Sus scrofa: one gene and its partner. The protein of the gene in region 2 interacts with the protein of the main gene of each other region in a biochemical or structural test. Links are inferred from orthologs where the notes say so. Each region holds a gene or a part of one and is shown on either strand. Other genes may lie near its edges.

Region 1 (3,648 bases), about 58 Mb from region 2:
AAGTCCCGCGAGGGAGGACGGCCCGGGACCCCAGTTCCCCAGCAACCCGGGATGCTCGCAGCTCTGGGGGCCGTGCGAGGAGGCGAGGTCTCCCCGGGGGACCCCAAACGCACTCCCCGACGCCCTCAATCTGCCGGAAGAGCCGCAGCCCGCGACTCCAATTGCTGACACTCGCCCTCAAACTAACGGGGCGGGCGGAGGAGGCCGCGGGGCGCGCGGAGGGCGCTTTTCAACCCCGGGGTCACTCCCTCCGCTCCCAAATCACGGGCCCCAGCGCCACAAGACCTTTCAGAAGCAGGAGGGACCTCTGGGGTCCAAGTCCTCAAAAGTGAGAATAAGATGACTCGAATCGCACAGTCACCTCCGCTTTCAAGGCAGGCAAGCTGAAGGCATTTCACAGGTTTCCCTTCTCCCTCCCAGGCGCGGCGAGGCGGGGAGCGGGTCCCCGTGGAAGAGGCCGTCCAGCCCCCGCCCCCTTCCCTGGCCCGCGCCGCCTTGCACTTGAGGGTCTGGCGCCCAGGACTCGCGTACTCCCCGGCCTCTGGGCGCGGGGCGACCCCGGCTGCCTCGCCTTCCTCCCAGTAGCCGGAACAAGCGTGGGGCTGCAGGCGGAGAAAATGCCCCCGACCTGTCTCCCCTCACTCGCTCCCCGGGTACCTAAGTTTGCCCGGGACCCTCTCTGACTTCAGTCCGGCGGCCCACGCGCCGCCGCGGCAGCCGGCACTCGGAGCCCCTCCCCAGGCTCGAACTCCGGCGCCGGCACCCCACGAACACAGGCCCCCGAGCCCGAGAGGGGCCGGAGCCGCAGAGGCTCAAACGGGTGGGAGAAGGGGGCGCCGACACGGGCGGAGGGCGCTCGGTTTGGAGGGGAAAGGGTGGGAGCGCGCGGGATCCGGGGGAGGGGTGGCGCGGCAGCCTGAGGCGCAGGGCGGGCAGGGATGCTGGGGAGAGGGACGCGGGAGTCCGTGGGGAGAACGCTGGCGATACCCTGGAGTGGGGGCGGGGTGGAGCAAGTTCGGGCCGCAGCTCGGAGAGTGGGCACCTGGGGGCTCCTGGGGGAGGTAAGACGGCTCGGAGAAGTGGGTCAGAATGTTGGCCGGCAGGCTCCACGGGTGATGAACGGATAAAGAGAACCAGGGTTGAGGTGATGGCTGCGGGCACAGGTGGGAGAGGGAAGGATCTATCTGCACGGGGTCACTACGCCCGGAGCCCGCTGGCAGATCCGGAGGAAGAGGGCCAGACGGCGTTCCTTCGGGTCCGAGCCACCAAGATAGGAACCTTGGAGGCAGTACGGGTCCGGGCTCGGGCCCCCGCGGGCACGGAAACGCTAGCAGGCAGGTCCCGCGGCTCCGGGCAGGGGGCGGGGGGTGGGGGGGCGGCCGCAGCTTCTTACCTTGAAGGCCACGGGCAGGGTCTTGTTGCAACGCCAGTGCGAGGGCAGCACAGAGCACAGGAAGTTGGGGCTGTCGGTGCGGACGAGTTCGGCCGGGTGGTCAGCGATGATCTCCACCATGGTGCGGTTGTCGTGCGGCGGCCGCAACCGGGGCACGGCGGCTGCCGCTGCCGCCGCCGCCGCCGCCGCCGCCGCCGCTGCCGCTGCCTCCTGCTGCTGCTGTTGCTGCTGTTGCTGCTGCTGCTGCTGCTGCTGTTGTTGCTGCTGCTGCTGTTGCGCAGCCACCACCGGGCTCACGTCGCTCATCTTGCCGGGCTGCAGGCTGCTGGAGGGGGGGCTGAAGCGCCGGCTGGTGCTCGGATCTACGGGAATACGCATCACAACAGCCACAAGTTAGCGAAGTGGCCGGGGGAGGGGGAGGAGGGTGGAATGAGGGGCGAGGAGGAGGAAATTGGGGGGGTGGAGGCGAGACGGGGGAAAGGGGATGGAGGTGATGGGGCTGAGGAGGTGAGAAATCAAGTTCGATGAAGCAGACTGCCGGGCGGAGTCTGACGGGGGCCAGCGGTGGCGGTGCGGAGCAATCGGGTTGGCGGGTGACGAGACCCGGGAGGCGCAGATCTTGCTGGAGCCCTTGAAACACCCGGGGTGGCAGCTGCGAACGGGCACCAGGATGTGTTTGGCTCGGGCAGGCGGGAGACTTCACTTCGCAGCAGCTTGGAGTGGGGTCCCTTGGGGCACCGCGTCCTGGGTGCGCTGGCGCCCCCTCCCAGTTCGAGTCCGGCGGTTGAGCCCAGTGGGTTCAGCAGTCCAACCCAGAGGCCAGCATCGCCGCGCGCTGCCCGCCACCGCCGCGCCGCGCCACGAGCAGCTACGCAGCTGCTGGCGTCCGCGCCGCGCCGCCCGCCCGCCCGCGCCGCTGCTGCCGCCGCCGCTCTGCTGCGGCTGCCGCTCCCCCCGCGCCGGCTGCACACTCAGATTCCTCCCGCGGCGGCTGCCAGCCCGGCTCCCCGGCTCGGCTCCTTCCTTTCCCTTCTCCTCTTCTCGCCCTCTCACCGCTCCCTCCTCGCATCCACTCCCTCCAGCTCTTTGCAAAGCTCCCCTGACCCTCGCGCTTCGAGGCGCCAGGAGGTAAGTCGCGGGCAGCGGATCTCGGGGCAGCGGATCTCGAGCCTGCGAATCTCAGCCGCTGCCGCCGCCCGCCGGCCGCGAGAAGTAGCCCCCGGGACGCGGCGTGCAGCTTCCGAAGCCGAGAGAGGCGGCCCGGGTCTAGGGGGATCTCGCCTGGTCGCGTCCTCTTGCTTCTCACCCCCCTCCCCCCTAGAACCAGGAACCCCCTCTTGGTCGGAGGAGGTTGATGCTGAGACGCCAGAGAGCCTGCCGGCTGATCTGCCTGTCGTTATTTTTCGTTGTAACTTCAGGAGAGGAAGAAGGAAAATTCTTGAGCGTCTGTGCTGACTTCTCAGCACTCTTCACCCTTCCCCCACCCCATCCCCCCCCCACCTCTGCCGGAGCGGCTCCCAAGAGGGGTTAAAAAAAAGATTTTACAGAGTTTGGGTGTTTTTTGTCTTAAGCGACTCAAAAAAATTGGGATGGAGGGGACATTTGTCAAAATCGTTTTTAGAAACTCAAACTGTGGGTAGCCGGACACTTTTTTCTTCTATATTCAAACTTGTTCCTAGAGAACAAGGATGAGTTTCTTTAAGGACTGGAAAACTATCAACTTGATGATTAAAATAAGTTGCTAAAACCCTTGCGGGGAGGGGGGGAACCCCAGCAGTTTTCCATGAATCTCAATCTATTAATAAGTCTATTCTGCATCTAAAACTTGGTCTAATGTCTTAACTTCCCCACCACCACCACCACTCCCAAGGAAAAAAAATTAAAATACGAAATAAAATATTCAAAATGCTTCGATGGCTATTTATTTATGTATTTATTTCCCAGTGTGGGTTTAAAAAGCGACTTTGGATCCCCCCAAAAGTTGTGGTCGAAAGGATGAAGGAGCGCAGAAAAAAGGCGGCAGTTTTACCTAAAATGTGGTTTTTGGAGGCTGGGATTTCTAATGATTAGGTTTTTGTGGTTTATATAGACACGACTCTGGCTAAGGCGATCATTACACTGATGAGAGTCAGAAGCACGTGGGTGTCTCCGACCAGCCTCAAACTCTGAGCCTTCAAAACAAATAAAACAATGTGCGGCGCCCGCAGAAGCCGGGAAATCCGCTTGAGGGTATCGCACCCCTAAGAAGGGGGCAC
Region 2 (3,748 bases):
ATGTTTATTGGCTGGTGTCTCTGGGGTTTGACAGTAACTCTAACATCCCGTATTTGGCCGAGGAAAAAAATGCTCCTTTTCCCTTAAAAAAAAATTAATATTAAAATACCCAGCATCGTAGATAAAGTAGGTTATCGTATTCTCTTATTTTGTATCCCTCTACTTTCCGCTTCCAAACGCAGTAACAGTCCTAGTAGTGCTGAGCGCTGGGGCTTGAGGCGAGGGGGTGGGGGTCTGCTTCCACAGTTTGCACCGAATTAGTGATAGAATGAGGAATGGGGGTGGAGGCGCATTCCTTCGGGGGCCAAGGCTTAAGCCCAAGGGGCTGTGTACCTATCTCGCCTATACCTGAACCTCAGAACTCTTCCCGGGTTTCTGTACACAAGTAAAAAGGCGCCTACGCCCCATCCCCCAACCCCGGGAACAAGGGTCCGCATTGAACCAGGTGCGAATGTTCGCTCGCCTTCTCTGCCTTTCCCGCCTCCCCTCCCCCCGGCCACGGCCCCCGCCTCCCCCCCGCGCTGCACCCTTGGTGTTGGCTGCAGCCCGCGAGCAGTTCCCGTCAATCCCTCCCTCCCGTTTACACAGGATGTCCATATTAGGACATCTGCGTCAGCAGGTTTCCACGGCCGTTCCCTGAAGTTGTGGGGGGAGCCATCCCCGAAGTCCCTCATTTTAGGGGGTCTACGCGACCCCAAGACCGAGACTGAGAAAAGCTCAGAAGATAAAGAAACACAATAAGACGAAAGGCAGGGGGCTGAGACGGCGGAAGAGGCAGCAAAGAGGCTGCAGAGGTGGCAAGATCCGAGCGCCACCCCTCGAGAGCTGCAATGGTAGCGCTCCGTGACGTATTGGGCTCATTCATAAAATGCTGTTATAAAAGCAGTGGCCTAGTACTCCAACCGCATCTGCAGCGAGCAGCTAAGCTGAGACAGAACCGGCAGCGGCGCAGCGAGCGAGCAGCGACCGCGCTCTTACCCAGCTCAGCCCCGCAGCTCCTACCTGTCTCCGCCCCTCAGCCCCTCGCCCGGCTTTGACTACCTGCGATCATGATGTTCTCCGGCTTCAACGCCGACTACGAGGCGTCATCATCCCGCTGCAGCAGCGCCTCCCCTGCCGGGGACAGTCTCTCCTACTACCACTCACCGGCCGACTCCTTCTCCAGCATGGGCTCTCCCGTCAATGCGCAGGTAAGGCTGGCTTCGTGCCACCGCGGGGCTCGGGGCTCGGGGTTACCGGGGAGGAGACACTGGGACGGGACGCTCAGGAAGACAAGCCGGGGACCCCATTGGCCAGAGAGGGAGGCTTGCCCCGGCCGGATCAGCCCTATCTCGGGAGCCCCGGACTTGTTCGGAGCGCACACATGCTTGTCAAAATAAGAATCTTTTCTCCTCTCCCGCTGTGGGCTCATTCTGAGCTGACCCTGGCCCACGCGCTCTGACTGGTCTCTGACATTAGCTGGGGGCAAAAGTGTCCCAAGCAAAGACTGGCTAACTAGAGCCGGGCACCTCCGGGGGAGGAGGCAAAAAGCGGCGATCCTCCCTCCCCTCGCAGCCTGGAGCAGGGAGGAGGGTGAGAGGAGGAGGGTGAAGCCGGCGGGTGTGTAAGGCAGTTTCATTGATAAAAAGCGAGTTCATTCAGGAGACTCCGGAGCGGCGTCTGCGTCAGCGCAGACGTCAGGGATATTTATAACAACCCCCCTTTCAAGCGAGTGATGCTGAAGGGATAACGGGAACGCAGCAGCAGGATGGAGGAGAAAGGCACTGCGCTGCGGAATTCTTGGGAAGGGAGAGACCTTTCATCCAGGATGAAGGACATATAAAAATACATAAGCAGTCCATTTTTCACTCTCTCCCTGCTGCATGCGGCACTGGGCACTCCGCTCACCCCACCTGCGTCCAGAGCCTGGTCGCTCACGTCAGCTTTCCCCTTCTATATTTCATTCTAGGACTTCTGCACCGATCTGGCCGTCTCCAGTGCCAACTTCATCCCAACGGTGACTGCTATCTCGACCAGCCCAGACCTGCAGTGGCTAGTGCAACCCACCCTGGTCTCCTCGGTTGCCCCATCCCAGACCAGAGCCCCTCACCCCTACGGAGTCCCCACTCCCTCGGCTGGGGCTTACTCCAGGGCTGGAGTCGTGAAGACCATGCCAGGAGGCAGAGCTCAGAGCATTGGCAGAAGGGGCAAGGTGGAACAGGTGAGGGTTCTCAACACCTTCTCTCTGGTGGTGGCTGGGGTTGGGGGGGTAAGGTCAGTCTTGATGGAGATGGGGAGCATAGTGGACAGGGTGAAGCCATGGGTGGAACTGATTACATATCCTGGACTGGGAACCCCGGCTCCAAGCCCTATCCATCCCAAGTCAGACTCTAATAGTCCACCCTAAGTAATATCCAATGTGCAGTTTCTTCCCTAATAGTTTCTTATCTCACCCTTGTAGCTTCTCTTTGTTCTCCTGCTGAGGTTCTTATTTTAAATGCAAGTCACACCCAGCTTGCAACTGCAGGTTAGAAATGGCTTCACAGAAGAGGTGCCAGGAGGCGGGAAGCTGCAGGCGCCAGTTTTCCTAGGGTGGGTGAACGGAGCTGATAGCAGGCACTGTTACTGAATGTTGCCCTCTCTCTCTCTCCCCACCTCCAGTTGTCCCCAGAAGAAGAAGAGAAAAGGAGAATCCGAAGGGAAAGGAATAAGATGGCTGCAGCCAAATGCCGGAACCGGAGGAGGGAGCTGACTGACACACTCCAAGCGGTAGGTAGAATCCATGGATCACTTCTTTCGAAAACTTAAGGGCAAAGTTAGAGACTGGGTAGAAGGGAACAGAGTCTTTGAGTAAGACCGTGTCTTATGCTTTGCTGTATCCTCTGTATCCAGGAGACAGACCAGCTAGAAGACGAGAAGTCTGCTTTGCAGACTGAGATCGCCAACCTGCTGAAGGAGAAGGAAAAACTCGAGTTCATCCTGGCAGCTCACCGACCTGCCTGCAAGATCCCTGATGACCTGGGCTTCCCTGAAGAGATGTCTGTGGCTTCCCTTGATCTGAGTGGGGGCCTGCCTGAGGCTGCCACCCCCGAATCTGAGGAGGCCTTCACCCTGCCCCTCCTCAATGACCCGGAGCCCAAGCCCTCCGTGGAGCCAGTCAAGAACGTCAGCAGCATGGAGCTGAAGGCCGAGCCCTTTGATGACTTCCTGTTCCCAGCATCGTCCAGGCCCGGCGGCTCTGAGACAGCCCGCTCTGTGCCGGACATGGACCTGTCTGGTTCCTTCTATGCAGCAGACTGGGAGCCCCTGCATGGTGGCTCCCTGGGGATGGGGCCCATGGCCACAGAGCTGGAGCCCCTGTGTACCCCGGTGGTCACCTGCACCCCCAGCTGCACTACTTACACGTCTTCCTTCGTCTTTACCTACCCCGAGGCTGACTCCTTCCCCAGCTGTGCGGCTGCCCACCGCAAGGGCAGCAGCAGCAACGAGCCTTCCTCTGACTCGCTCAGCTCACCCACGCTGCTGGCCCTGTGAGCGGGCAGAGAGGGGAGGCAGCAGGCAGGCACGCGCCACTGCCCGAGTCGGTGCATTATGGAGAGGAGAAACACGTCTTCCCTCGAGGGTTCCCGTAGACCTAGGGAGGACCTTATCTGGGCGTGAAACACACCACCAGGCCGTGGGCCTCAAGGACTTGAAAGCATCCACGTGTGGACTCGAGTCCTTACCTCTTCTGGAGATGTAGCAAAACGCATGGAGTGTGTATTGTCCC

Evidence for each region.
Region 1: the proteins of FOS (region 2) and RUNX2 form a complex in vitro, tested with the Homo sapiens proteins (2 studies listed by BioGRID). The link is inferred for Sus scrofa from reciprocal best matches to the Homo sapiens genes FOS and RUNX2.

The regions. Positions count from the first base shown.
Region 1 is NC_010449.5:40,204,035-40,207,682, reverse strand, and holds part of RUNX2 (runt-related transcription factor 2), read right to left. Parts: intron 1,756-3,648; coding exon 1,394-1,755; intron 1-1,393. UniProt on the Homo sapiens protein: Transcription factor involved in osteoblastic differentiation and skeletal morphogenesis. Essential for the maturation of osteoblasts and both intramembranous and endochondral ossification.
Region 2 is NC_010449.5:98,448,459-98,452,206, forward strand, and holds FOS (proto-oncogene c-Fos), read left to right. Parts: upstream 1-1,049; coding exon 1,050-1,190; intron 1,191-1,948; coding exon 1,949-2,200; intron 2,201-2,640; coding exon 2,641-2,748; intron 2,749-2,871; coding exon 2,872-3,513; downstream 3,514-3,748. UniProt on the Homo sapiens protein: Nuclear phosphoprotein which forms a tight but non-covalently linked complex with the JUN/AP-1 transcription factor. In the heterodimer, FOS and JUN/AP-1 basic regions each seems to interact with symmetrical DNA half sites.